Anolis sagrei: one gene and its partners. The protein of the gene in region 1 interacts with the protein of each later gene in a biochemical or structural test. Links are inferred from orthologs where the notes say so. Each region holds a gene or a part of one and is shown on either strand. Other genes may lie near its edges.

Evidence for each region.
Region 2: the proteins of BCL2 (region 1) and FKBP8 form a complex in vitro, tested with the Homo sapiens proteins (4 studies listed by BioGRID, with this or other methods). The link is inferred for Anolis sagrei from reciprocal best matches to the Homo sapiens genes BCL2 and FKBP8.
Region 3: the proteins of BCL2 (region 1) and NR4A1 form a complex in vitro, tested with the Homo sapiens proteins (2 studies listed by BioGRID). The link is inferred for Anolis sagrei from reciprocal best matches to the Homo sapiens genes BCL2 and NR4A1.
Region 4: the proteins of BCL2 (region 1) and PMAIP1 interact in a biophysical measurement, tested with the Homo sapiens proteins (2 studies listed by BioGRID and IntAct, with this or other methods). The link is inferred for Anolis sagrei from reciprocal best matches to the Homo sapiens genes BCL2 and PMAIP1.

The regions. Positions count from the first base shown.
Region 1 is NC_090024.1:89,535,804-89,542,772, forward strand, and holds the start of BCL2 (apoptosis regulator Bcl-2), read left to right. Parts: upstream 1-3,948; 5' UTR 3,949-4,956; intron 4,957-5,838; 5' UTR 5,839-6,179; coding exon 6,180-6,725; intron 6,726-6,969. UniProt on the Homo sapiens protein: Suppresses apoptosis in a variety of cell systems including factor-dependent lymphohematopoietic and neural cells. Regulates cell death by controlling the mitochondrial membrane permeability. Appears to function in a feedback loop system with caspases.
Region 2 is NC_090034.1:50,953,223-50,960,993, forward strand, and holds the start of FKBP8 (peptidyl-prolyl cis-trans isomerase FKBP8), read left to right. Parts: upstream 1-4,755; 5' UTR 4,756-4,833; intron 4,834-4,838; exon of another isoform or gene 4,839-4,881; intron 4,882-7,771. UniProt on the Homo sapiens protein: Constitutively inactive PPiase, which becomes active when bound to calmodulin and calcium. Seems to act as a chaperone for BCL2, targets it to the mitochondria and modulates its phosphorylation state.
Region 3 is NC_090022.1:139,197,715-139,205,557, reverse strand, and holds the start of NR4A1 (nuclear receptor subfamily 4immunitygroup A member 1), read left to right. Parts: upstream 1-4,827; 5' UTR 4,828-4,929; intron 4,930-7,843. UniProt on the Homo sapiens protein: Orphan nuclear receptor. Binds the NGFI-B response element (NBRE) 5'-AAAGGTCA-3'. Binds 9-cis-retinoic acid outside of its ligand-binding (NR LBD) domain.
Region 4 is NC_090022.1:281,555,470-281,562,379, reverse strand, and holds the start of PMAIP1 (phorbol-12-myristate-13-acetate-induced protein 1), read left to right. Parts: upstream 1-3,894; 5' UTR 3,895-4,054; coding exon 4,055-4,118; intron 4,119-6,910. UniProt on the Homo sapiens protein: Promotes activation of caspases and apoptosis. Promotes mitochondrial membrane changes and efflux of apoptogenic proteins from the mitochondria. Contributes to p53/TP53-dependent apoptosis after radiation exposure. Promotes proteasomal degradation of MCL1.

The DNA of each region.
Region 1 (6,969 bases):
GTGAGCGGAGCGCGCGCGCGCGCCATCCGGCTCGGGCTCCTGCGCCCCCCTCCTCCTCCTCCTCCTCCTCCCAGCTGTGTTGCAGGAAGTGCTACGAGGAGGAGGAGGAGGAGGACGCAGGAGCCCGAGCCGGATGGCGCGCGCGCGCGCTCCGCTCACCTTTACAACCGGCCTCCGCTCCTGCTGTTAGCCCTGCGCGCCATCCGGCTCGGGCTCCTGCGCCCTCCTCCTCCTCCTCCTCCTCCTCCTCGTAGCACTTCCTGCAACACAGCTGGTAGGAGGAGGAGGAGGAGGTGAGCGCGGGTGAGCGCGCGCGCACCATCCAATCGGCTCCTGCCACGGTGCTGCTGGGGTGCTTGGGAGCGCCTGATTGGTTCCCAGGCACCAGCACATGACCACAGCACTGAAGTCAGCACAGCAGCCGCCATTGCATTTACGAGATGAGCTGAAGCTCGTAAAAAAAATGGGGCTGCTGTTTCGATATTTTCAAACCCTTCCGGGTTTGAAAATATGTTTTGATATCGCTTCGTTTTTAAAAAAAATAACGATTAAAATACGAAAAACGAATTAACGATACAAAACTGACAGGCCTACTATCTATCTATCTACCTACCTACCTTTGAATCCCTATCTAGCATACCTCTTTATTCCTCTCTATATACACAGACATATATCTAACACTCTTATTTCTCTCTCTTGATATCTATCTATCTATCTATCTATCTATCTATCATCTACCGTTTATCTCTCTCTGGATCCCTATCTAGTGCACTTCTTTATTTCTATTAGATACATATCTAACACCGTTTCTTAGTTCTCTATCTATCTATCTATCTATCTCTGGATCCCTATCTAACACACTTCTTTATTCCTGTCTATATACACAGCTACATATCTAACACACTTCCTTATTTCTCTCCCTTGATATATACCTATCCTTCTATCTATCTACCTTTTCTCTCTCTCTGGGTACTTATCTAGTTCACTGTTTTATTTCCCTTTAGATACATATCTAACACTGTTTTTTATTTCTCTCTCTCTCTTTCTTTCTTTCTATCTAACTATCTATCTCTGGATCCCTAACACACTTCTTTATTCCTCTCTATATATGGTACATATCTAACACCCTTATTTCTCTCTTTTGATATCTATCTATCTATCTATCTATCTACCTATCTATCTACCTTTTCTCTCTCTCTGGATCCCTATCTAGTGCACTTCTTTATTTCTATTAGATACATATCTAACACCATTTCTTAGTTCTCTCTGTCTCTCTCTCTACCTTTTCTCTCTCTCTGGATCCCTACCAAGTGCATTTCTTTATTTCAATTAGATACATATCTAACACTTTTTCTTAGTTCTATCTATCTATCTCTGTATCTATCTATCTATCTCTGGATTCCTATCTAACACACTTCTTTCTTCCTCTCTATATACACAGATACATATCTAACACCCTTCCTTGTTTTTCTCTCTAGTTATATACCTATCTATCTAGCTACCTTTTCTTTCTCTCTGGATCCCTTTTTGGTACACTTCTTTATTTCTGTTAGATACATATTCAACACTGTTTCTTAGTTCTCTCTCTCTCTCTGGATCCCTATCTAACACACTTCTTTATTCCTCTCTATATACACAGATACATATCTAACACCATTCCTTATTTCTCTCTCTTGATATCTATCTATCTATCTACCTACCTACCTACCTACCTACCTACCTTTTCTTTCTCTCTAGATCCTATTTAGTACACTTCTTTATTTCTGTTAGATACATATCTAACACCATTTCTTATTTTTCTATCTATCTGTTTGTCTCTGGATCCCTAACTAACACACTTCTTTATTCCTCTCTATATACACAGATACATATCTAACACCCTTCCTTATTTCTCTCCCTTGAAATATACCTTATATCTATCTACTTTCTCTCTCTCTCTGGATCCCTATCTAGTACACGTCTTTATTTCTGTTAAGATACATATCTAACACCATTTCTTATTTCTTTCTCTTGATATCTATCTACCTTTTCTCTCTCTCTGGATCCCTATACAGTACACTTCTTTATTCCTGTTAGATACGTATCTAACACAGTTTCTTATTTCTCTCTCTTTCTGTCTAACTATCTATCTCTGGATCCCATCTAACACGCTTCTTTATTCCTCTCTATATACACAGATACATATCTAACACCCTTCCTTATTTCTCTCCCTTGATATATACCTATCCTTCTATCTATTTACCTTTTCCCCCTCTCTGGATCCCTATCTAGTACACTGTTTTATTTCCTTTAGATACATATCTAACACTGTTTTTTATTTCACTCTTTTTCTATCTAACTATCTATCTCTGGATCCCTTCTAACACTTCTTTATTCCTCTCTTTATACACAGATACATATCTAACACCCTTATCTCTCTCTTTTGAATATATACCTATCTACCTACTTACCTACCTATCTTTTCTCTCTCTGAATCCCTACATAGTGCAATTCTTTATTTCTATTAGATATATATCCAACACCATTTCTTAGAGCTCTCTCTCTCTTCCTCTTATCTCTCTCTGGATCATTATCTAATACACTTCTTTATTTCTATTAGATACATATCTAATACTGTTTCTTAGTCCTCTCTATCTATCTGTCTCTGGATTCCTATCTAACACACTTCTTTCTTCCTCTCTATATACACAGATACATATCTAACGCCCTTCCTTATTTCTCTCTTTAGATATATACCTATCTATCTAGCTACCTTTTCTTTCTCTCTGGATCCCTATTTAGTACACTTCTTTATTTCTGTTACGATACATATCTAACCATTTCTTAGTTCTATCTATCTCTGGATTCCTATCTAACACCCTTCTTTCTTCCTCTCTATATACACAGATACATATCTAACACCCTTCCTTATTTCTCTCTGTAGATATATACCTACCTATCTATCTAGCTACCTTTTCTTTCTCTCGCGATCCCTATTTAGTACACTTCTTTATTTCTGTTACGATACATATCTAACCATTTCTTAGTTCTATCTATCTCTGGATTCCTATCTAACACCCTTCTTTCTTCCTCTCTATATACACAGATACATATCTAACACCCTTCCTTATTTCTCTCTCTAGATATATACCTACCTATCTAGCTAGCTATCTTTTCTTTCTCTCTCGATCCCTATTTAGTACACTTCTTTATTTCTGTTACGATACATATCTAACCATTTCTTAGTTCTATCTATCTCTGGATTCCTATCTAACACCCTTCTTTCTTCCTCTCTATATACACAGATACATATCTAACACCCTTCCTTATTTCTCTCTGTAGATATATACCTACTTATCTATCTAGCTACCTTTTCTTTCTCTCTCGATCCCTATTTAGTACACTTCTTTATTTCTGTTACGATACATATCTAACCATTTCTTAGTTCTATCTATCTCTGGATTCCTATCTAACACCCTTCTTTCTTCCTCTCTATATACACAGATACATATCTAACACCCTTATTTCTCTCTCTAGCTATATACCTATCTATCTATCTACCTTTTCTTTCTCTCTGGATCTCTATTTAGTACATTTCTTTATTTATATTAGATATCTAACACCATTTCTTAGTTATCTCTGTCTATCTCTGGATCCCCTACCTAACATACTTCTTTATTCCTCTCTATATACACAGATACATATCTAACACCCTTCCCTACCTACCTACCTACCTATTATTATTATTTCGGATCTATCTATCTATCTATCTATCTATCTATCATTTATCTATCTATCCTCTCTCTCTCTCTGGATTCCTATCTAGCCCTCTTCTTTACTTCTCCCTCTCCCTTTTCCCCTTCCCCAGGGCCAACCCACCCAATGAATGGAGCGGGGGGTTTCGCGCTTTGCCGCCTTTTTGGCCCGGGCGACCCTCCTTCCCTCCTTTCTGCCTCCCTCCCAGGGCGGACCACCCAGCCTCGCGCCCGGCCCTGGAGAAACCCGGGCAGAGCGAGGCAGAGAGAAGGAAGGCGCAGCAGCCATGGCGGGTGTGTGAATTGCAATGAGTGCCTGGGAGGGGGAAAGAGGACGGGCGACAGAGGCGGCGGCGCCTTTGACGGAAGGAATCGGCGGCTTCCCTCCTTTCCCTTCCCTTCCCTTCCCCTCCCTTTTTTTTCTTGAATGAACCGTGAGGTGGGGCTAAGAAGCAAGGCGCTCCCCTCCTCCGTCTCCTCCCCCTCGGGCTGCAGCCACATTCAGAGAGAGAGAGAGGCAGAGGGAGAGGGGGGACCGACCGGCCTCCCCAGCAGCACAGGAAAAGGAGGAGCAGGAGGCCGCTGGGCATTGGGGTAGTGGAGGGGTAGTAGTAGTAGTAATAGTAGTGAAGGGCATTGGGGAAAAAGCAGGAGGAGGGAAGGGAAGCAGTCAAGACCCGCCCCATTCTCCCCCTCCTTTGCCTTATGGGATATTTAAAAAGGCAAAGAAGGGGAACCCTCCAACTACTTTCTTTTTGAGTTCTGCAGTCCAGAGTTTTCAATCAGTCCAGACTGGGAGATCTTGAGCTGCTGAATGGAGACCCCGCAGCACCACCACGCTGCCCTGGGAAGCTCTCTCCCTCATTCAAAAAGCCTGCCTTGAACTATGCCTTTCCCGGATCCTTTGGCTCCTTTCTGCTTCTGCTTCTTCTCGCCTTGTTGGTGGTTCATCCCACCGCCGGCTTGGCTTCCCTGTCCTGAAAGTTAGGAGGCCGGCTTTCTGAGTTTTGACATCTCCTTGGAAATGTCACTCAAACAGGAGCCTTGGAAGCGTTTTTGGAAATCCCAACAGTCCTAAAGAGGTTGAAAGCTGCTTTTCCATCTTTTGCTTTTTCTGGTTTGGACTCCTCCAAAAGACCCTTTTGCATTTTCCCCTCATGATGTTTTTTCGGTTCTATTTTCCAGTAAGGAAACTTCACAGAAAATGATATTTCTCATCCAAGTAAGTATCTTAAATTGGTGGGATACTTTGAGTAACTTAATGTTATTATAAAGAAAAGAGGGGAAAATCCACTGGGGACTTTGAGGCCTCTTCCACACAGCTGTATCAAATCCACTTTGAACTGGATTATTTGGCAGTGTGGACTCAGATAACCCAGTTCAAAGCAGATAGTGTGGAATTTTTCTGCCTTGATATTCTGGATTATTTGGCTGTCTTGGAGGGCACTGAGATATGTAAGGCACCTTCTACACAGCTGTATCAATTCTGCATTGAACTGGATTATGTGCCAGTGTGGATTCAGATAACCCAGTTCAAAGCAGGTATTGTGGGATTTTCTGCCTTGATAGTCTGGGTTATATGGCTGTGTTGAAGGACCCTGAGATTTGTAAATCCCCTTCCACACAGCTGTATCAAATCCACATTGAACTGAATTATAAGATAACCCAGTTCAAAGCAGATATTGTGGGATTATTCTGCCTTGATATTCTGGGATATAGGGCTGTGTGGAAGGGCACCGAGATATGTAAGGCCCCTTCCACACAGCTGTATCAAATCCACATTGAATTGGATCATATGGCAGTGTGGACTCAATTCAAACCCAATTCAAAGTAGATATTGTGGGGTTTTCTGCCTTGATATTCTGGGTTGTATGGCTGTGTGGAAGGGCCCTGAGTTGAATGTGCTTTGCATGCATTTGCATTGGAGGTTGCTCAGCGTAGTAAATCATTTGGAATGGCAGGGTTTGGTGTTTTGTTTTTCTCTTGGGGAAACCATGTGTGTGCGTGTGTGTACACCATCCTCTTCATTCATGTCCTAGCTCAGAAGGAAGGGAGGGGGAAAGTGCACCTGATGTCAAATAAGTGTCTGTTTTTCTTATTTTAGTTGCATTTCTGCACGAAGGAAGGAAGGCTTCTGAAAACAGACTTCTCATGATAAATATTACCTGTGGAATACAGTATTGGCTGCCTTTGAAATCTGCTTTCCATCGTGGATCACAAACTGAAGAGGAAACGCTGGGAAGGCGGAAATACCTTTGAGACCCCGAGGACTCCCCCACACCTCAACCAATGGAACTGCATGGAGTGAAACAACTGGATTATATATAAACACCGGCACTTATTATTACTGGCTGCTTTTTTCCCCCCTCTGGGTCGGTGGGGGACATTTCATCTGCTTCTGTGTCTTTTTTTCCACCACCCTCATCCTACCGCTTATTGTCCACCATGGCTCATCCTGGGATAAGAGGTTACGATAACAGGGAAATCGTGCTGAGGTACATCCATTACAAGCTGTCGCAGAAAGGATATGACTGGGTTGCCAGTGGAGACAGAGGAAACCTTGCTGCTGCTGCTGCTCCTGCTGCTCCAACTGTGCCAGCATCTCTTTCTCCAGAGCTGCCCAATTCTGCTCCTGTGAGTACCAATGCCCCCGAGGAAGAACCGGACCGGGTGCCACAGGTTGTCCACACAACGTTACGCCAAGCCGGAGACGAGTTCTCCCGGCGCTATCGGAGGGACTTTGCTCAAATGTCTGGCCAGCTGCATTTGACCCCCAGCACTGCCAGAAGTCGTTTTGTGGCCGTGGTGGAAGAGCTCTTTCAAGACGGAGTGAACTGGGGGAGGATTGTGGCATTCTTTGAATTTGGTGGCCTGTTGTGCGTGGAGAGTGTCAGCCGGGAGATGTCCCCCCTTGTGGACAATATTGCTGTGTGGATGACAGAGTATCTGAACCAGTACCTGCACAACTGGATCCAGGAGAACGGAGGCTGGGTAGGTGGCCATTGTGTCTTTTTTTGTTTCAAGGTCATACATCACTGAAATGCCCATTCCGGTGTCATGAATGACTTGCGTGACCAGTGGTTCCCAGTGTGGTGTCACTTGTTTAGTTGTTTCAAGGGTGTTTTGCTTATTCCGAACAAGTTATTATAGATAGCAGCCACCTAATATTGATGTCTTAACACTAAACACCCGTCTTATACGTTCGCACTTCCCAGTGGTCCTGTGGAAGAGGGTG
Region 2 (7,771 bases), on another chromosome or scaffold:
GCTGGCTACATGACCTTGGAGGTGTCTACGGACAACCCCGGCTCTTCGGCTTAGAAATGGAGATGAGCACCAACCCCCAGAGTCAGACATGACTGGACTTAATGTCAGGGGACAACCTTTACCTTACCTTTTAAGCTGCCTTGAGCCTCCTTTGGGGTAGAGAAAGGCGGGGTGTAGATAGCACCCCCGAAAGATGGCTATCCAACCTCTGTTTAAAAGCCTGGTAGCTTAATATACATGGACTTAGTTTCATGTGCAACAGTCTTCAGACTTATGTGTATAAGGTGTATATGAAACATCAATGTAAATACTGCATCTTAACTCTTGTAAAAAAAAATGGAACTATCCCTTTCTCTGAGTGGTGAAAGGTGACTCATTTTGGCTCTCCTACCTGCCTTTGACTTATACATTGAGTTTGACTTAGACTTATACCAAAGTACATATAGGCATATAAACAAATATAAAAGAAAAAGGAGAAAATATAATCATAGAATCATAGAGTTAGAAGAGACCTCATGGGCCATCCAGTCCAATTCCCTGCTAAGAAGCAGGAAAATTGAATTCAAAGCATCTCTGACAGATGGCCATCCAGCCTCTGTTTCAAAGCCCCCAAAGAAGGAGCCCCAGCCACACTCCGGGGCAGAGAGATCTTTTTCACATGCACTTCTGAAGATCTGGTATATATGTTGTGCATTGGCATAACGTTGTCCTTAACAGTTCAAAGAGATAACCAGGGATTTCAGTTTAACAGCTGAGAAGCCTAAATTGCCTTCTGTCAAGGGTATTTTGATTGTGCTTTTCCTGCATGGCAGAATGGGGTCAGACGAGATGGCCCATCGGATCTTAGAATCATAATCATAGAATCATAGAGTTGGAAGAGACCTCAAAACCATCCAGTGCCAAGCAGCAGGAAAATTGCATTCAAAGAGCATTCTCCCCATATTGCACTTTCCCCCAACTTATTGAAAGTTTAACTCCACTGTTCAGTCCTCTACGAGCTCCTTCCCTACAAATTGCACTTTTCATTGCTATCTCATCTAGTGTTTTATAATTTTATGTCAAACATCTGGCCTACCTATTGTGTTTGATTTTATATTATGTTATTTTATATTATTTATTTTATTTTATCGGTTTATTTTTACTGTGATGTTATTTTTTTGTTTATATTTTATGTTGCTGTATTGTATTGTACTGCTGTTGAAACATTCACACCTAGCTCCAACAGACAAGAGTCCTTTGTCCCACCTTGGTCATTCCACAGATGTATAAACCCTTTTTCCTAGTTCCAGCAGACCTCACTACCACTGAGGATGCTTGCCATAGATGCAGGCGAAACGTCAGGAGAAAATGCCTCTAGAACAGGGGTGCACAAACTTTTTAAACAGAGGGCCAGGTCACAGTCCCTCAAACTGGTGGAGGGCCGGATTATAATTTGGAAAAAAATGAATGAATTCCTATGCACACTGCATGTATCTTATTTGTAGTGCCGCATAGGGAAGCTGATGAGGAAACACAACATACAAACTATCTACAGACCCACCAAGAAAATCCAACAAATGCTACGTTCAGCAAAGGACAAAAGGGATCCTCTCACCTCTGCAGGAGTCTACCGTGTACCATGCAGCTGTGGACAAGTCTACATAGGGACCACCAAATGCAGCAGTATTGCCCAGACACGCATCAAGGAACATGAAAGGCACTGCAGACTACTTCAACCAGAGAAATCAGCCATAGCAGAGCACCTGATGAACCAACCTGGACACAGCATTTTATTTGAAAACACAGAAATGCTGGACCACTCTCATAACCACCATGTCAGACTACACAGAGAAGCTATTGAAATACACAAACATGTGGACAATTTCAACAGAAAGGAGGAAAGAATGAAAATGAACAAAATCTGGCTACCAGTATTAAAAAACTCTAAAATTGCAACAGCACAACAGAGGAAACAGGCAAGGACATCTACCTCTCAACAAAAGCTTGCCCCAGGCGCGGTCAGGCCATTGTATGCTAATCATGGTGGTCAGTTGGAACATTCACACCTAGCTCTAACAGAGAAGAGTCCTTTGTCTCACCCTGGTCATTCCACAGATATATAAACCCTTTTGCCTAGCTCCAACAGGCCTCACTACCTCTGAGGATGCTTGCCAAGTGCAGGCGAAACGTCAGGAGAGAATGCCTCTAGACCATGGCCATACAGCCCGAAAAAACCTACAACAACCCAGTGATTCCGGCCATGAAAGCCTTTGACAATACATTGGTGTGCACCCTCTGGGTTCGTCCGCTTAACCAATTACAGATCCACCTAACCGTAGTTTTGGCTAGCCCACATTGGACTAGTTTGCCAGAAGGTCATGGGGGACCTTGTTGAAGGCCTTACTGAAATCCACAGCATTCTCTGCACCTACCCAGCTTGTAACTCTAAATTGTAAGCCTAAATTGCCTTCTGTCAGGGGTGTTTTGACTGTGCTTTTCCTGCATGGCAGAATGGGGTCTCTTCCAACTCTATGATTCTATGACTTCTGTGCTCAGTAGCCCACAAACCTCACAAGGATTGCCCCTTGTGAAAGCCAACAAGCCCTTCCCAATAGGAAACCCCCTCCTTTCCAGCTGACAAGTCTTTGATTCTATGATTCTATAAGTCTGTATCTGTGTTGGCAGAAGAGGACCCTTCCCAAACTCCGCCCCTTCCCCAAGCTCCGCCCACAACCCCGCCCCCTGAGACACTCCATCGGGTCAGGCCCCGCCCACTCACTGTTCCCCAATGGCCATTTTGGCCCCGCCCCCGACGCACCTGAAAGAAGCTCCAAAGCCAAAAGCTCACATCCCTGACGCGACCGAGGCCTGCGCTGAGAGAGAGCGCTTCTTCCACTCAGCCCCACCGGAAGGCTCCTTTCCAACAGCCTCTAACGGCTCACTTCCGGGTGGGGCGTGGCTACGCGCTGACATAGGCTTTGCGTCCCTGGACGTGCCCTGCGTGGTTACCCTAGCAATGGTGGACCCGCCTGCGCTTTGCTTCCTACTCCGTTGGCTCCGCCCCCGCCGCATTTTCATTGGGGGATAAAAAGAGGGCTAAACCACGCCCTCTCTATGTTATGGGAATGCAATAACACAGATATTAGATTTATTCATTCATCGATTTTTTTGGATTGATATCCCGCTTCATCTTTTCAGAAAACAATAAAATAGTATTGCCATTTTTATATTATTATATATTATCAGCAGTAATATATTTCATATATTAGTGTTATATTGGTATTATATAGTATTATATTACATTATTAATATTATATGAATATATAATATATAATAATATTAGCATAGCACAATGTTAGTATTATATATTGTTATATTGTATTATTAATATTATATGAATATATAATATATGATGATATTAGCATAGCACAATATTAGTATTATATATTATTATAGTGTATTATTAATATTATATGAATATATAATATATGATGATATTAGCATAGCACAATATTAGTATTATATATTATTATAGTGTATTATTAATATTATATGAATATATAATATATGATAATATTAGCATAGCACAATATTAGTATTATATATTGTTATAGTGTATTATTAATATTATATGAATATGTAATATATGATATTATTAGCATAGCACAATATTAGTATTATGTATTATATCATATTATTATTAGTATTATAATGTATAATATTATTATTAATATTATATGTCAATATAAAATATTATATTATTCTTCCAGTTAAAGTATTACTTCATTCTCTCCACTGAGTCATCCTGAATACGCAGATTCATTTTAAAACCTCGGATCGGGGCAAAGGTCAGTTTGATGGGAACTGTAGTCTGTAAAGACCTTAAGGAAAAGCTGATGGGAACTGTTGCCTGTAAAGACACAAAGGAAAGCTTGATGTGAACTGTAGTCTGTAAAGACTTTAAGGAAAAGCTGATGTGAGCTGTAGTCTGTAAAGACCTTAAGGAAAAGCTGATGGGAACTGTAGCCTGTAAAGACACAAAGGGAAGGATGATGGGAACTGTAGTCTGTAAAGACACAAAGGAAAGCTTGATGTGAACTGTAGTCTGTAAAGACCTTAAGGAAAAGCTGATGGGAACTGTAGCCTGTAAGGACCCAAAAGGAAGGATGATGGGAACTGTAGTCTGTAAAGACATTCAGGAAAGGCTAATGGGAACTGTAATCCGAAAGGGTACAAAGGGAAGGATGATGGGAACCGTAGTCTGTAAAGTCAAAGGGAAGCTTGATGGGAACTGTAGTTTAAAGACACAAAGGGAAGGCTGGTGTGAACTGTAGTCCAAAAGGACATAAAGGCAGATTGGGACTGTAGTCTATAAAGACCCAAAGGGAAGACTAATGGGAACTGTAATCTGAAAAGACACAAAGGCTGATGGGAACTGTAATCTGAAATGACACAAAGTCTGATGGGAACTGTAGTCTGTAAAGAAATTAAGGAAAGGCTGATGGGAACTGTAATCCGAAAGGTCACAAAGTCAAGGCTGATGGGAACTGTAATCTGAAAAGACAGAGAGGCTGATGGGAAATGTAGTCTGTAAAGACATTAAGGAAAAGCTGGTGAGAACTGTAATCACAAAGAGAAGCCTGATGAGAACTGTAGTCTGAAAAGGCATAAGTAGAAAGCTGGTGGTAAATATACAGTCTGGGGATGGTCACTGTCCCTTTAAGAGGTTGCGCAATGGGGGTGTGCGGAGGTCAGGCTGGAGTGGCAGCTCTCGCAGCCTATCAGCCGCCTCCTCGGCCATCAGCTGATGGAAAGAGAGGCGGGACCAAGGAAGTGAGCAATTCCTGGGTCCAGGTGAGTGTTTTGCAAGCAGAGGAAAGTGAAGGGGGATTGGAGATTGGGGTAAAAGCCATGCCATTTCCTGCCCACCCTACTGCCTTTGCATTGCAATGGGTCGCTTCTCTCTTCTGCTTGCAATGGCTTGCAAGATGAGTGCAAGACATTCAGAATCTGGCTTCTCTCCTGCTTTTAATTTCTTCCTCCTTCCACCCAGCATAATGTCTACAGTCTTTAGGTTTCTCAATGTGTTTCAATCTCTGCCCTGTGTACTCCATATGCATTTGATAGAATTGGTATATTCTAGAACTAACATTTTAATACATGCGTTTATGGATTTTTTTTCTTGCAATGTTTGTGTGTTTTGACTGTGCCGTGAACCGCCATGAGGAAATCATAAAATTATTATTATTATTATTATTATTAAATAATATATTAGTAATATATACACTTTATATTATATGTATTTTATTCTATTATTCCTATTTTAATATTATATTTATATCCTCCTTTCTTCTCTTATAATAATAATGCTAATAATAATTGTATATTAGTAATATATACGCACACATAATATTATATGATATTAATTATATTTTATTTATTTAATTTTATTCTTATTAGTAATATTTGTATCCCACTACTCTTATTATTATTAAATTGTGTATTAGTAATATATGCACACTCATAATATTATATGATATTAATTCTATTTTATTTATTTTATTTTATTCTTATTAGTAATATTTGTATCCCACTTCTCCTATTATTATTAAATTGTATATTAGTAATATATGCACACCCATAATATTATATTAATTATATTTAATTTAATTTATTTTTATTAGTAATATTTTAGCACTATATTTATATCCCACATTCTTCTCTTATTATTATTATTATTATTAAATTGTATATTTATAATATATAAAATATCCTCAGAAGCACTTTAATTACCCGTTGGGTTGCTCTCTACTTTTGGTTTAATTACATCTGGCCCAGCCATAGGTTTTGAAATCATTGTGTGTTATTGTCTATGTGTGAGTTATATTAATTGTATTATTTATTTTGCTTATTGCTTGTTGTTTTTATCGATGTGTTGTTGGGATTGGCCTCATGTAAGCCACTCCAAGTCCCTTGGGGAGATGGTAGCGGGGTATAAATAAAGTTTTATTATTATTATTATTATTATTATTATACATATATTATATTGTTTTATATTAATTTTATGTCTATTAGTAATACTAGCTTGGGGACTCGGCGGTCCACGAGTTATTTGAAAAAAGCATTGTTTAATGTATTATCGAAGGCTTTCATGGCCGGAATCACTGAGTTGTAGGTTTTTTCGGGCTATATGGCCATGGTCTAGAGGCATTCTCCTGACGTTTCACCTGCATCTATAGCAAGCATCCTCAGAGGTAGTGAGGTCTGTTGGAACTAGGAAAAAGGGTTTATATATCTGTGGAATGACCAGGGTGAGACAAAGGACTCTTGTCTGTTGGAGCTAGGTGTGAATGTTTCAGCTGACCACCTTGATATAATGGCCTGACAGTGCCTGGAGCAAACTTTTGTTGAGAGGTGATTAGAAGTCCTTTTTTGTTTCCTCTCTGTTGTTGTTTGTTGGAGGCAAAACAGAACATCTAGGATGAATTCGTCTCTGAATGAAAGCTTTCCTTGGGTGTCGTGCAGTATGGTGTTTGGGGACGACATTGCCAGGGGTAGGGAAACATGTTCATAGTGCCCACTCTAACCTGGAATGTCAGTGGAGGGAGGGCAATCGGTGCTTCCTGCATAGTGGGAACTATAGCCTTTGTGGAGGCAGGAGGCTGTCTGTGTAACTGGACACCTCCACCACATACAGTCATACACATTTTCACTTTTATTATGTGTATAGATTAGTAATACACACACACACACACACACACACATAATATTATATTATACTAATTTTATTATTTTATTTTATGTAATGTTATTACTGGTTTCATGTTGTTGTATTTTCTTTTACTTATTACTAGCTTGGGTGCCTGGCATTGCCCATGTTATTTGAAAAAGTCAGTTTTGTAAATGTCCTAAATGCATAAAGTTGTGGGTGAACTACAACTCACATCATGCCAGGTTAACCCCGAGAAAGTCCATCAGTACTTCAAGTTTGCTATGTTTGCTCCGAGTTTCTCAACCTGGGGGTCGGGACCCCTGGGGGGGGGGTCGCGATGGGGTGTCAGAGGGAACGCCAAAGACCATCAGAAAACACAGTATTTTCTGTTGGTTGTGGGGGTTCTGTGTGGGAAATTTGGCCCGATTTTATTATTGGTGGAGTTCAGAATGCTCTTTGACTGTAGGTGAACTATACATCCCAGTAACTACAACTCGCATATGTCAAGGTCTATTTTCCCCCAAGAGCACCTCCATTTATTATTATTACATTTATTATTTTACTCTAATGATTATTATTACATTTATTATTTTGCTCTATTATTGTTATTATTACACTTATTATTTCACTCTATTATTATTACATTTATTATTTTACTGTATTATTGTTATTTTTTATTATATTTATTATTTTACTCTCTTTATTATTATTGGAAGTATACGAAAGCACATTTACACCGAAGAAGGTTAGAGTAATGGTTTAATCAGAGTTGGACAGCCTTATCCCCAAGCTCCACCAGTTTTATGCAAATATTTTACAAAAACAAATATGTAAAAATTACAGTTTTATGTAAATACTAGCTGTCCCCTGCCACGCGTTGCTGTGGCCCACATGGGGGTTCTGTGTGGGGGGTTTGGCCCAATTCTATCATTGGTGGGCTTCAGAATGCTCTCTGATTGTAGGTGAACTATAAATCCAAGCAACTACAACTCCCAAATGTCAAGGTCTGTTTTCCCCATGCTCCACCAGTATTCATATCAGGGCATATTGAGTATCCGTGCCATGCTTGGTCCAGACTCA
Region 3 (7,843 bases), on another chromosome or scaffold:
TGTGAGCAGTTATGTGATCCCTTTTGATGGAGGTCAGAAAAGGGGGAGGGAAGAGATATGTTGGCCCACATAGCTTTAATATTTGCATTACAAAGGGATTTTACTCACTTTAAGCTTCATGTGCAAAAATGCAATCTTTGTAAAACTGCAGACGTTTGGAACAAGCCTGGATTTGGGAGATTAGTGCAAAATAAGAATCTCGTGATCTTGGAAGGTCGCCGCCAGTCCTCCTCTTGGCTGGGTCCACTCTCAGAGCCCTTCCACACAGCCATATCACCCAGAATATCAAGGCAGAATAAACCACAATATCTGCTTTGAACTGGAATATCTGAGTCCACACTTCCATATATCCCAGTTCAAAGCAGATAATGTGGAGTTTTATTCAGCTGTGTGGAAAGGGCTTCAGAAAAAACACATAAGATAATAACCTCTCTTTCCCAACAGTCACTAGAGTATATTTAAAGGCACAGGTGGCAGTCCTGCCCATATTTTTCCCCATCCAACCAGCCGCTCTTACCTCTGTTTACTAAGGGTGTATCTACACTACGGAATTAATGCAGTTTGACACCACTTGAACTGCCATGCCTGGGATCTGTGGATTGGTAAATTACCAACACTCTTTGGCAGAGAAGGCTAAAGAACTTGTCAGAATACAACTCCTAGGCCCTTTCCACACAATAAAATAAATAAAATCCCACATTATCTGCTTTGAACTGGAATATATGGCAGTGTGGACTCAGATAACCCAGATCAAAAAGGATATTATGCGATTTTCTGCCTTAATATTCTGGGTTATATGGCTGTGTGTGTGGAAGGAACCAAAGCACTGAGTCATGGCAAAGTGGTGTCACGCTGCATTAATTCTACAGTGTAGATGCACTGGGGGGGGGGGGATACTAGATTGAGTTTAATGGCATTCAAAACAGCAGCCTCACAACACAATCCCAGTACCTTTACAGAGAAGTAGAATAGCAGTAGTGTACCATATGTCTTAAGTGCTTAATGGTCAACATTATACACAGTTTTTTGGAAGGAAGCCCAGTTGGACTCACTGAGATTAATGACACATTGGACTGTACTTCCTGTCTGCATTAAAAATACTTTTCAACCTGCGTTTCCTATACTCAGAGATAAGCCTCGCAGCACTGAATGCCACTGACTCCCAAGCGCGGGGGGGGGGGGGGGGGTTTGAGGTTTGCAGCCATGTACTTTTGGGGTGTGTGTGCTATAATCATAATAATATACTTTATTTATATTACACTCTATCTCCCCGAGAGGACTCAGAGTAGATTACAGTACACATATACGGAAAACATTCAGTGCCATTATACAATTAACACAGACAGACAGGACATAAACAGAGGTAAAGGCTTCCCATTTTTTTCCATCTCCAGCATCTGGAGGCTGTGCTTGACACCGGCCATGGGAGGTGCTGTTGCTCCATCTTCCATTCTGAGGAGCTTTGTTGTCTTTAGACGCTCTCCCAATTGAACTGCTGGCATGTCCGCATGGCGTCATTTATTACCTCCCCGCCAAAGCGGTACCTATTTATCTACTCACATTACTGTTTTTGAACTGCTAGGTGAGTGGAAGCTGGGCTGATGGTTGGGAGCTCTCCCTAACCCAAGCTTGAAGAAGTCCAGGAGGTCACAACCGGCAAGATTTTCTGTGGCTGGTGGTTTAACCCGCTGTGCTAAAGCCCAGGTTGTTGTTGCATGCCTTCCAGTCGTTTTCAACCAATGGTGACCCCATCATATTATTCTGTGTTTGTATATTTTAATATATATTTTATAGAAATACAATTTAATATATATCTTTTATAGAAATATATCTTAATGTGTGTGTGTGTGTTTATGTGTTTTGGAGCCCCTGGTGGTGTAGCGGGTTAAACCATGAGCTGCCAAACCTACTGGTGAAAGGTCCGCGTTTCGAATCCGCGGAGCAAGGGGAGCTCCTATTGTTAGCCCCAACTTCTGCCAACCTAGCAGTTTGAAAACATGCAAATGTGAGTAGATCAATAGGTAGCACTTCTGTGGGAAGGTAACAGCGCTTCATGCAGTCATGCCAGCCACATGACCTTGGAGGTGTCTATGGACAATGCTGGTTCTTCGGCTTAGAAATGGAGATGAGCATCAACCCCCAGAGTCAGAAACAACTAGACTTAATGTCAAGGGGAAACATTTACTTAACTTTTATGTGTTTTAATTATGCTGTAACTGCCTCGAGCCACAAGGAGAGGCGGGTAAGGAATTAAATTATTATTATCATCATCATCATAGGGGTTTCTTTGCAATATGTGCTCAGAGGAAGTTTGCCCTTGCCTTCCTCTGAGGCTGTGGGTCCTTCCAGATAGGTCCTTTATCCCAGGATCTGATCCCACATTTTTTGTTTATCCCAGATGATCTAGCAGTGTGGACTCATATAATCCAGTTTAAAACAGAAAACCTGGGATCAGATCCTGCGATATAGGGCCTGTCTGGAAGGGCCCTGAGAGAGAGAGAAACCACTTCTGAATATTGCTCTCCCAAGAAAACCCTATCAAAACTCAGTGGACAATAGGCAGCAAGTACTGGCTGCATCTACAGAAGGCATGGGCCAACTTCGGCCCTCCAGGTGTTTTGGACTCCAACAATTCCATACAGCCTATGATCTACAGTGTAAATGAATGCAGTTTGATACCACTTTAACTTGCAATGGCTCAGTATGTCAGATCCTGAGAGTTATTTATTTATTTATTTATTTATTTGCGACATTTATATGCCGCCCTTCTCAACCTGAAAGGGACTCAGAGCAGCTTATAAGATATATATACATTTTGTTGTTGTTCATTTGTTCAGTCGTCTCTGACTCTTCGTGACCTCATGGACCAGCCCACGCCAGTGCTCCCTGTCGGCCGTCACCAACCCCAGCTCCTTCAAGGTCAGTCCAGTCACTTCAAGGATGCCATCCATCCATCTTGCCCTTGGTCGGCCCCTCTTCCTTTTGCCTTCCACTTTCCCCAGCATAATTGTCTTCTCTAGGCTTTGCTGTCTCCTCATGATGTGGCCAAAGTACTTCATCTTGGCCTCTAGTATCCTTCCCTCCAGTGAGCAGTCGGGCTTTATTTCCTGGAGGATGGACTGGTTGGATCTTCTCTCAGTCCAAGGCACTCGCAGAACTTTCCTCCAACACCACAGCTCAAAAGCATCGATCTTCCTTCGCTCAGCCTTCCCTAAGGTCCAGCTCTCACATCCGTAGGTGACTACAGGGAATACCATGGCTTTGACTAGGCGGATCTTTGTTGCCAGTCTGATGTCTCTACTCTTTACTATTTTATCGAGACTGGACATTGCTCTCCTCCCAAGAAGTAAGCGTCTTCTGATTTCCTGGCCACAGTCTGTGTCTGCAGTAATCTTTGCACCTAGAAATACAAAGTCTGTCATGGCCTCCACATTTTCTTCCTCTATTTTCCAGTTGTCAATCAGAGTTGTTGCCATAATATACAATAGTATATTATTAGCATAGTACAGTATCAATATTATAAGGTAAAGGTAGTCCCCTGACATTAAGTCCAGTCATGTCTGTTCCTAGGCAAGACTTCTTTTAACACAGACTTTGGTACCAGAGGTAGACATAACATGGAAAGAACATGCTATATTTTAGCTGTATTTTAATACTCTCTACTATTTTATGACTGTGAGCCATCTTTAAGGTTCAAAAGGCATGTCACAAACCTCTTACATAGGTAAAGGTAAAGGTAGTCCCCTGACATTAAGTCCAGTCATGTCTGACTCTGGGGTGTGGTGCTCATCTCCATTTCTAAACCGAAGAGCCACCATTGTCCGTAGACACCTCCAAGGTCATGTGGCCAGCATGACTGCATGGAGCGCCGTTACCTTCCCCCCGGAGCGGTACCTATTGATCTACTCACATTTGCATGTTTTCGAACTGCTAGGTTGGCACAAGCTAGGGCTGACAGCGGAAGCTCACGCCGCTCCTCAGAATCGAACCTGCGACCTTTCGATCAACAAGCTCAGTAGCTCAGTGCTTTAACCCACTGCGCCACCCTATTATATATATTACTAATATATATAATATTATATATTATATATATAATATTATATATTACTAATATTGTACTACACCATTATATTGTAAATATTACATGTAATATAAAATATACAATTATAACATTGTATTAGTAGTAGTAGTGTTATATTGTATTCCATTATAATATTACCAATATTATATGTATATACAATATATTATATTATATTTTTAGTAAAGCACAGGAGACAAGATGGAACAAGTTGTCGTTTGCTGTCTCTCCAAATCGTTGCAATCCATAGCACTGAGCCTTGGCAGTGGAAGTGGGGTCAAACTGCATTCATTCCACAATGTAGATGCACTTACTGGCACGAGGGGATAGAAGGCACTTACCTTTTGTGATGGGCCATAAGAGAGGGGGGGGGGGGAGGGAGGGAAGGGGTTGGGTCCCTCTTAAAGGCGCCCCTTCCCTTTCCTCCACGCTTTCGCAGGAGGGAGGGGGCGAGGCCTCGGCTTCCGCTCGCCACAAGCCCGAAATAGGCTCGCCCGGCTCTGGCTGGATGGAGGCGGGGGCGGAGAGCCTCGCGCTTATTCCGCCGGGCGCGCGCCTGCCTATTTTTAGCCCCCATTGATGGCTGGGATTCCGACGACGTCAATGGAGCTCGGCGTTGACGTCACGGAGGCTGCTGGCCGGGCCCGGGAGAAAAGGGGCGGGGCTTGCGGGAAAGCACTCACTAAAGCGGCCGGCAAGGAGCGCGCGCTTGCAAAGAGCGCTGAGAGAGCAGCCGCAGAGGGAAGGATATCCACGAAGAGAGAGAGTGAGAGAGAAAGCGAGTAGCCACCGCGGGGGACGGGTCCCCGATGGCGCCCAGGCAGAGACGGAGCACCTCCAGCGCCCAACAGGTGAGCGCCATCCCCTGTTTTGATTGGCTAACCTTCCAAGGAATGAATGCAGTTTGACACCTCTGTAATTGCCACCACTCAATGATCTGGAATCCTGAGAGTTGTTAACTTGTAGAGGCACCAATATTCTTTGGCAGAGAAAGTTGGGAAACTACAAGTCCCAAGACCTATATAGTATTTAGCCATGGCAGTTCAAGTGCTCTCGGGTGGATCAAATCTGCAGTGTAGATGCAAGCCTTACTCTTCGGGACTTGAAGCCTTTAGCAGAGAAAGTTAAAGACCTTGGGAAACTACAATTCCCAAGACTGTATGGTATTGAACCATTACAGTTCAAGTGCTGTAAGGCTGGATTCAATCAACAGTGTAGATGCAAGCCTTACTCTTTAGGACTTGAAGGCAGAGTTTTTCTTTGACAGAGAAGGTTAAAGACCTTGGAAACTACAAATCCCAAGACTATATACTATTGAACCATGACAGTTCAAGTACTGTCAGGCTGGATCAAATCTGCAGTGTAGATGCAAGTTTTACTTTTTTGGGACTTGAAGCCAATTTTTCCATTTGGCAGAGAATGTTAGAGACCTTAGGAAACTACAAGTCCCAAGGCTGTATAGTATTGAACCATGGCAATTCAAGTGCTGTCAGGCTGGATCAAATCTACAGTGTTAGATGCAAGCTTTAATCATTGGGACTTGAAGCCAGTGCTTCCCTTTGGTAGAGAAAGTTAAAAACCTTGGGAAACGGCAAGTCCCAAGACTGTATAGTATTGAACTATGGGAGTTAAAGTGCTGTCAGGCTGGATCAGATCTACAGTGTAGATGCAAGCCTTACTTTTTCTGGGACTTGAAGCCAGTGTTTCTCTTTAGCAGAGAAGGTTAAAGACCTTGGGAAACTACAAATCCCAAAACTGCATAGTATTGAACCATGGCCACTCAAGTGCTTTCAGGCTGCAGATCAAGCCTTACTGTTTGTAACTTGAAGCCAGTGTTTCCCTTTAGCAGAGTTTTCTTGGGAAACTACAAGTCCCAAGACTGTATGTATAAATTTATTATTATTTATTAATGTATGATCTTTCTATCCCACCTTTCTCCATCCCAGATTTGACTCAAAGCAACTTTACACATAGGTGACTATTTGATGTCTTGAAACAATGGACAATTAAAATAAACTTTTAAAAATAGAATTATAAAACACATTAAGACAATTAAAAACATTTAAAACACTACAATAAACCCCTAAGAATTCATAATTTTGATTTTCTTTGTTTCTGTCTCCAGCTCCCATCTAAATAGTTTATAATGAGAGGGGGAATTAGCATTATTTTTCCAAACACCTAATCATTAAAAACAGTTAGACATGAGTTGCATATGAAATGGCGAACACAGGTGTTTATTAACATGTATCATAGCCATCATATAATGCAAACAGGTTTGCCAGTGTTCCGGTGGAATAGTATCTTAGTCCTTCTCCTCTCCATATGCTAAAGTGCATCTTCAAAACAATGTGAAGTTCTTTAAAGGAGAGGAGGGTGGAGGCTGTTTTTATTTCTTTAGGGAGGGAGTTCCAGAGACAGGGAGTGATCACAAAGAAGGTCCCCTCTCTCGTTCCCACCAACAGAGCTTGATTCAGGGGTGGGACCAAGAGCAGGGCCTCCTCCACTGACAGCAGTTCACAGGATGGTCTGTATAGGGAGATATGATTGGACAAATAGCCTGGACCCAAACCGTTTAGGGCTTTATAGGTAAATGGTGAGATTTGGGGGTGCACATAGTATCCCCTCCTTTACTAGATTCTATTGGCTTGTCTGTTGAATAAACATGCAGGACTAGGATCTGTGTTGGTTGGGAGTTGATCTCTCTCAACTACGGGAAAAGACTGGTGCTTTCTGCTATACCAGGCATGGGCAAACTTTGGCCCTCTGGGTGTTTTGGACTTCAACTCCCATAATTCCTAACAGCTGTTGAAGTCCAAAACACCTGGAGGGCTGAAGTTTGCCCATGCCTGCCCTAAACAGACATTAGACCTCTTCTAGGCGGTTATCCCTTTCTGTCTGGAATTTGCAAAGCCCAAGATGTTTTTAAAAAATATATTGGAAGAGTTTTCCAATCTAAATAGTTGAAAATGTTTTGCCTCCCACTCCTGTGTACAAATGGAAATGTTCAAGTACAGCTGGTTTTGTTCCTCTTCCATCAGAATTGTTCCTTGCGCCTGCCTTGGCATCAGGTAAAAATTGACCCATGTCTGGATGTTTTCCAAAGGTGGAAGCTGTGTGCCTCGGTTGGACCTGAAACAAGTGTTGCGGTTGACAGATTTCACACAGCACAATGTTTTGTGGAATATGATATGCCTCCTCAGATTCTCTGAATATTAATTGAAGCAAAGATGTGCAAGCTGTGGGTCACATGATAATCTATGAAGACTTTCGCATTTTGATCTTTCCCAGCTAAAAAACATACCAGATCACCACAAAAAAATCCCCCCTTAGGAACCATCTGTATTTGGACCGATTTTCAGAATCATAAAGGAGGTATCATTTTCAGTCATGTTGGGACTTGAGTCACCATATGGCTTCCATCCCTTCCACAGTTTCCCTCCTAGGATCTAGATCAGTGGTTCTCAACCTGTGGGTCCCCAGGTGTTTTGCCCTACAACTCCCAGAAATCCCAGCCCGTTTACCAGCTGTTAAGATTTCTGGGAGTTTAAGGCCAAAACATCTGGGGACCCACAGGTTGAGAACCACTGATCTAGAGCTTTGAGTATGATGCACACCCCACACACCTGTAAATATGCACCCACACACCCACATGTGCATACATGGCCAGAAGTCGGAAGTTGGAATTTAAGACCAAAGTGAATTTATATACATAATATACTGACAATAACAATTACATCTGTATTAACATTGCCCCTTCCCAGT
Region 4 (6,910 bases), on another chromosome or scaffold:
TAAATCCAGTAACTGGTTTGGCTGCAGCTCCCTTGGACCCAACATCATACCTTCCCCTTTCTCACTTGGTACTATGGGAGGAAGAGGGCAAGAAGCCCTCCATTGCATCCTTTTGTGGCTTCCTTTGTGGCTTCCTGATCTAAAGCTACTTTCGTTTCATCATAGGGAGAAGTGGCACTGTAGAGCGGTGGTGCTCAACCTTCTTAATGCCACAATCTCTTCATACTCTTCCTCATGTTATGGTAACCCCCCAACCATAAAATTATTTTTGTTGCTAATTCATAACTGTCGTTTTGCTGCTGTTATGAATCGTAATGTAAATATCTGGTATGCAGGATGTATTTTCATTCACTGGACCAAATTTGGCACAAATATCCAATGCGCCCAAATTTTAATACTGGTGGGGTTGGGGAGGGATTGATTTTGTCATATGGGAGTTGTAGTTGCTGGGATTTATAGTCCACCTACAATCAAAGAGCATTTCGAACTCTACCAGCAATGGCATTGAGTCAAACTTGGCATACAGAACTCCCATGACCAATAGAAAATACTGGAAGGGTCTGGTGGGTACTGACCTTGCGTTTTGGAGTTGTAGTTCATCTACATCCAGAGAGCACTGTGAACTCAAACAATGATAGGTCTGGACCAAACTTGGCATGAATTCGCAATATGCCCAAATGTGAATATTGATGGAGTTTGGGAAAATAGACCTTGACATTTGGGAGTTGTAGTTGCTGGGATTCATAGTCCACCTACAATCAAAGAGCATTCTGAACTCTATCAGCAATGGAATTGAGTCAAACTTGGCACACAGAACTCCCATGACCAACAGAAAATTCTGGAAGGGTTTGTTGGGCATTGACCTTGAGTTTTGGAATTGTAGTTCACCTACATTCAGAGAGCACTGTGGACTCAAACAATGATGGATCTGGACCAAACTTGGCATGAATTCGCAATATGCCCAAATGTGAACACTGATGGAGTTTGGGGAAAATAGACATTGACATTTGGGAGTTATAGTTGCTGGGATTTATAGTTCACCTACAATCAAAGAGCATTCTGAACACTACCAATGATTGAATTGGGCCAAACTCCCCACACAGAACCTCCATGATCAACAGAAAATACTGTGTTTTCTGATGGTCTTTGGTGACCCCTCTGACACCCCCTCGCAACCCCCCTGGGGTTCCGACCCCCTCCAGGTTGGGAAACACTGCTGTAGAATCAATGTAGTTTGAGCTCCTTCCAATTGCCATGGCTCAAGGCTATGGAATCTTGGGATCTGTAGTTTCCTGAGGTGCCAGCACTCTTGGACAGAGATTAAAACCCCTGAAAGCTGTAACTCCCATACAGCCAGAGCAATTAAATGAGTATCAAACTGCATTGATTCTACGATGCCAGCATGGCTTATGATGAAAGTAATTTGGATTTTGGGAAGCACAATTTGGGTTTCTGAGCATTGCAGAGTTACAGAAAAAGAAATCGAAAATGGGAAGGAAGTTGAGGAGGGAGAAGAGGGCTGGCAAATCTCCCAGGATGCATCTTTGAAGAACAGCATTTCTCAACCTGGGGGCTGGGACCAAAGAGGGGGGGGTCATGAGGGAGATTCAGAGGGGTTGGTGTAGATTAGGCATGGACAAACTCTGGCCCTCCAGGTGTTTTGGACTTCAACTCCCATAATTCCTAACAGCTGGAAGACCCATGTTTGCCTGTGCCTGATGTATATGCACCTCCAATGCTGTGTTATCATAGGATTTGTAGTTTTACAAGGTCTTTATAGTCTTCTTTGCCAAAAAGTGCTGCCGACTCACCAAAATATAGGTCTAAATAGCTCAATGCTCTTAACAGCATTGAGCTATGGAATTGTCAATCTACATTATTTCTATCATGGGAGTTGTAGTTTTCCAAGGTCATCCAAGGAGTGCTGGTCCTCCAACAAACAACAATGTTCAGGGTTGTGTGGGTTTTCCGGGATGTATGTTCATGTTCCAGAAGCATTCTCTCCTGACGTTTCACCTGCATCTATAGCAGGCATCTGGTGTCTAGTTTGCCCACCCCTGGAACATGTAACATATCATTGTCCTTTCAAATCTATGATACTATATCTCTCTGTGTGTGAATTATATCTATCTATCTATCTATCTCTATGGCTGGATGGCTCTTTGTCATGAGGACTTTGATTATGTTTTCTTGTCCTGGTGAAAACATAATGATGGCCTTAAGTATTTTCTGTTGGTTATGGGGGTTTAGTGTGGGAAGTTTGCCCCAATTCTATCGCTTGTGGGGTTCATCATGATCTTTGATTGTAAGTGAACTGTGAATCCCAGCGATTAAAACTCTCAAATGTCAAGGTCTCTTTCCCCCAAACTCCATCTGTGTTCATATTTGGGTGTATTGAGTGCTTGTGCCAAGTTTGGTCCAGATTTATCATGGTTTGAGTCCACAGTGCTCTCCACAGGGAGGAGGGAGCAAGCTTGTTTTCTGCTTCCTTGGAGACTAGGACACGGAACAATGGCTTCAAACTACAAGAGAGGAGATTCCATCTCAACATGAGGAAGAACTTCCTGACTGTGAGAGCCGTTCAGCAGTGGAACTCTCTGCCCTGGAGTGTGGTGGAGGCTCCTTCTTTGGAAGCTTTTAAAAACAGGCTGGATGGCCATCTGTCAGGGGTGATTTGAATGCAATATTCCTGCTTCTTGGCAGGGGGTTGGACTGGATGGCCCATGAGGTCTCTTCCAACTCTTTGATTCTATGATTCTATGATTCTGGATGTAGGTGAACTACAACTCCCAAACTCAAGGTCAATGCCCACCAAACCCTTCCAGTATTTTCTGTTGGTCGTGGGAGTTCTGTGTGGCAAGTTTGGTTCAATTCCATCGCTGATGGAGTTCAGAATGCTCTTTGATTGTAGGTGAACTATAAATCCCAGCAACTACAACTCCCAAATGACAAAATCATAATTTTTTGAGTGATGGTCACTCCTTGTGTTGTGAGACGTTTAGTTGCCAAATTTGGTGTGATTCCGTTCATTGGTTCTTTTGTTTTTAAGGCACAGAGCATTTATAGAAAGATAGATAGAAAGATAGAAAGATAGATAGATAGATAAATAGATAGATAAATAGATAGATAGATAGATAGATAGATAGAAAGATAGATAGATAGAAAGAAAGAAAGAAAGAAAGATAGAAAGATAGATAGATAGATAGAAAGATAGAAAGATAGAAAGATAGATAGATAGATAGATAGAAAAATAGATAGAGAGAGAGATGATAGATAGATAGATAGATAGATAGATAGATAGATAGAAAAATAGATAGATAGATAGATAGAAAAATAGATAGATAGATAGATAGATAGAAAGATAGATAGATAGATAGAAAGAAAGAAAGATAGATAGATAGATAGAAAGATAGATAGATAGAAAGATAGATAGATAGATAGATAGATAGATAGAAAGATAGATAGAAAGATAGATAGATAGATAGAAAGAGAAAGATAGAAAGATAGATAGATAGATAGATAGAAAGATAGATAGATAGATAGATAGATAGAAAAATAGATAGATAGAGAGAGAGATGATAGATAGATAGATAGATAGATAGAAAAATAGATAGATAGATAGATAGATAGATAGATAGATAGAGATTCCTATCCAAACCCAAGTAACGAAGGTGGAGGCATTACTTTTCATTCAACCCTGGTACATTCATTCTGCAGTGTATGGATGGATAATTGGATCAGCTGGGGATTTTCAGGTCTCCTCCTCCTCCTCCAGCCGGCCGGCAACTTGCCCCCACTTGCCCAGGAGAACCCGGCTTCTGATTGGGCGGCGGGCCACCCGAGGGGGCGGGGATTCCTCGTTGACGTCACTGGGAAATCCCCCGGCACTTGCTTTGCCTTGGCGCGCCCGGCAGAGAAGCGGGCAAAACGAGTTGGGAAGGCGAGCGAGAAGGAAGCAGAGCTGGGCCAGAGGAGCCAAAGGAGACCAGCCATTCCTCCTCCTCTCTCTCGAAGCCGGCGGCAGACCAGGACCCACAGAAGGGACCAAAGCGAGATGATGCCGGGAAAAACTCTGCGCAAAGGCGCGCTCCCTACCTCTGCCTCCTCCACGCGGACAGGTAAGGGCGAAACTCCCCTCCTCCCTTGATTCCCTTCGGGTGATGTTGTTGTGCTGTCCTTGTGAGAAAGGCCCAAAAGGGGAACTCCTGGGATTGGGGGGATTGGGGAGAGGGCTTCCCTACCCTTCTGGGGCATCGACTCAATAGGTTCTGGGGTTAAGGGAGCCTCGCAAACACAGAAGGGGATCCCCAGATGTCATCTAGTCGGTCCCCTAGAAGGGCAAAGGAGCCTTCTCCCCTATTTCCCCATCTCTGCTGCTTGTCCTGAGCTCTCCCACTGCACTGGGGTCTCTCTCTTTTACAATTCTCTGGCTGTTGGGTTGCTGTGAGTTTTCCGGGCTGTATAATAATAATAGTTTTAGTAATAGTAATAATAATTATTATTATTTATTTATACCCCACCAACATCTCCCCAAAGGGGACTTGGAACATAACATAAATCCTAATAATAATAATAATAATAATTATTATTATTATTATTATTTATTTATTTATACCCCACCAACATCTTCCCAAAGGGAACTTGGAACTGCTAACATAAGGCCTAATTAATAATAATAATAATAATAATAATAATATATTTATTGATTTATACCCCACCAATATCTTCCCAAAGGGGACTTGGAACTGCTAACATAAGGCCTAATTAATAATAATAATAATAATAATAATAATAATATATTTATTTATTTATACCCCACCAACATCTCCCCAAAGGGGACCTGGAACGGCTAACATAAGGCCTAATAATAATAATAATAGTTATTATTATTATTATTATTGTTATTTATACCCTACCACCATCTCCCCAAAGGGGACTTGAAACGGCTAACATAAGTCCTAATAATAATAATAATAATAATAATTTATACACCACCATCTCCCCAAAGGGGACTTGGGATGGCTAACAAGAGGCCTAATAATAATAATAATAATAATAATAATAATAATAATACACAGTCCTAGATGCTTGGGAAGTGTTCAACTAGTGATTTTGTGATATGAAATCCAGCATATAGATCTCGTTTGCTGTGACATACTGTGCTTTTGTGTCAATAATAATAATAATTATTATTATTATTGTTATTGTTATTGTTATTAATACCCCACCACCATCTCCCCAAAGGGGACTTGGGAAGGCTAGCATGAGGACTAACAATAATAATAATAATAATAATAATAATAATAATTATTATTATTATTATTATTATTTATACCCCATCACCATTCCCCCAAAGGGGACTTGGGACAACTAACATGAGGTCTAATAATAATAATAATAATAATAATAATAATAATAATAATAATTTATCCCCCACCGCCATCTCTCCAAAGGGGACTTGGGTCAACTAGCATGAGGCCTTATTATTATTATTATTATTATTATTATTATTTACACCCCACCACCATCTTCCCAAAGGGGACTTGGGATGGCTATCCTCTATTCCATTGTCTAATTTCCTTAGTAATAGCCCTCATAACCCCTGAGGATGCTTGCCATAGATGTGGGTGAAACGTCAGGAGAGAATGCTTCTGGAACATGGCCATACAACCCAGCAATTGTTAAAACTTTGCCCATCTCTGGTGTTTGTCCTGAGCTCGCCCACTACACAGGGGGTCTCTCTTCAACAATTCTCTAGCTGTTGTTGTTGTTGTTACCACGTGGAGTTGTGGCTGAGTCATACTCTCTCCGCCAAGGAGAAAGGCAATAAATAAATCATGCCAAGACAACACCTTCATAAGGGAGCTAGAAAGCAGAAATGACCTGACTTGACCCATGTCTGATGCTCAATTTTTCCCCTCATATATTATCCACTACTCCATTGTCTAATTTCCTTAATAATAGCCCTCACAACTCCTGAGGATGCCTGCCATAGATGTGGGTGAAACGTCAGGAGAGAATGCTTCTGGAACATGACCATACAGCCTGGAAAACGCAAAGCAACTCAGTAACCCTATCTTCTCCTAGTCATTTATCCAAAATCTTACCTTCTCTAGAGGTAGTTTAAGGCTGGGTCTGCATTGACATATAATCCAGACTATAAACGCTGATGATCCACATTATCTGTTTTGAACTGGATTATAAGAAGCCCCTTCTACACTGGCATATAAAATCCAGATTATCTGCTTTGAACTGGATTATATGACAGTATAGACTCATATAATCCAGTTCAAAGCAGATAATGTGGATTATCTGCTTTGATAACCTGGATTATACGGCAGGGTAGAAGAGACCTGAGTCTACACTGCCATATAATCCAGTTCAAAGCAGATAATCTAGATTTTATACAACAGTGTAGATGGGATCTGAGGGCCCTCCACACAGCCATATAACCCAGAATATCAAGGCAGAATAACCCACAATATATGCTTTGAACTGAGTTATCTGAGTCCACACTGCCATATACCCCAGTTCAAAGCAGATAATCAGGGATTTTATTCATTTGTGTGGAGGGGTTATATGAGTGTGGACTCATATAACCATGTTCAAAGCAGATATTGAGGATTATTTGCCTTGATATTCTGGTTTATATGACTGTGTGGAAGGGCCCTGAGTCTACACTGTCATTTAATCCAGCTCAAAGCAGATAATCTGGGCTACAAATGATGTAAATAAATAAATAAACAAATTACCAGTATATAGCAGTGTAGAAGGGCCCTGAGTCTACACTGCCATATAATCAGCTCAAAGCAGATAATCTGGATTTTCTATGGCATTGTAGATGGGGCCTCAATCTGTTGTTGCTCTGGCGCATGCAGCTGGTAAATGGTATCCATTTAGCCTGAAACAA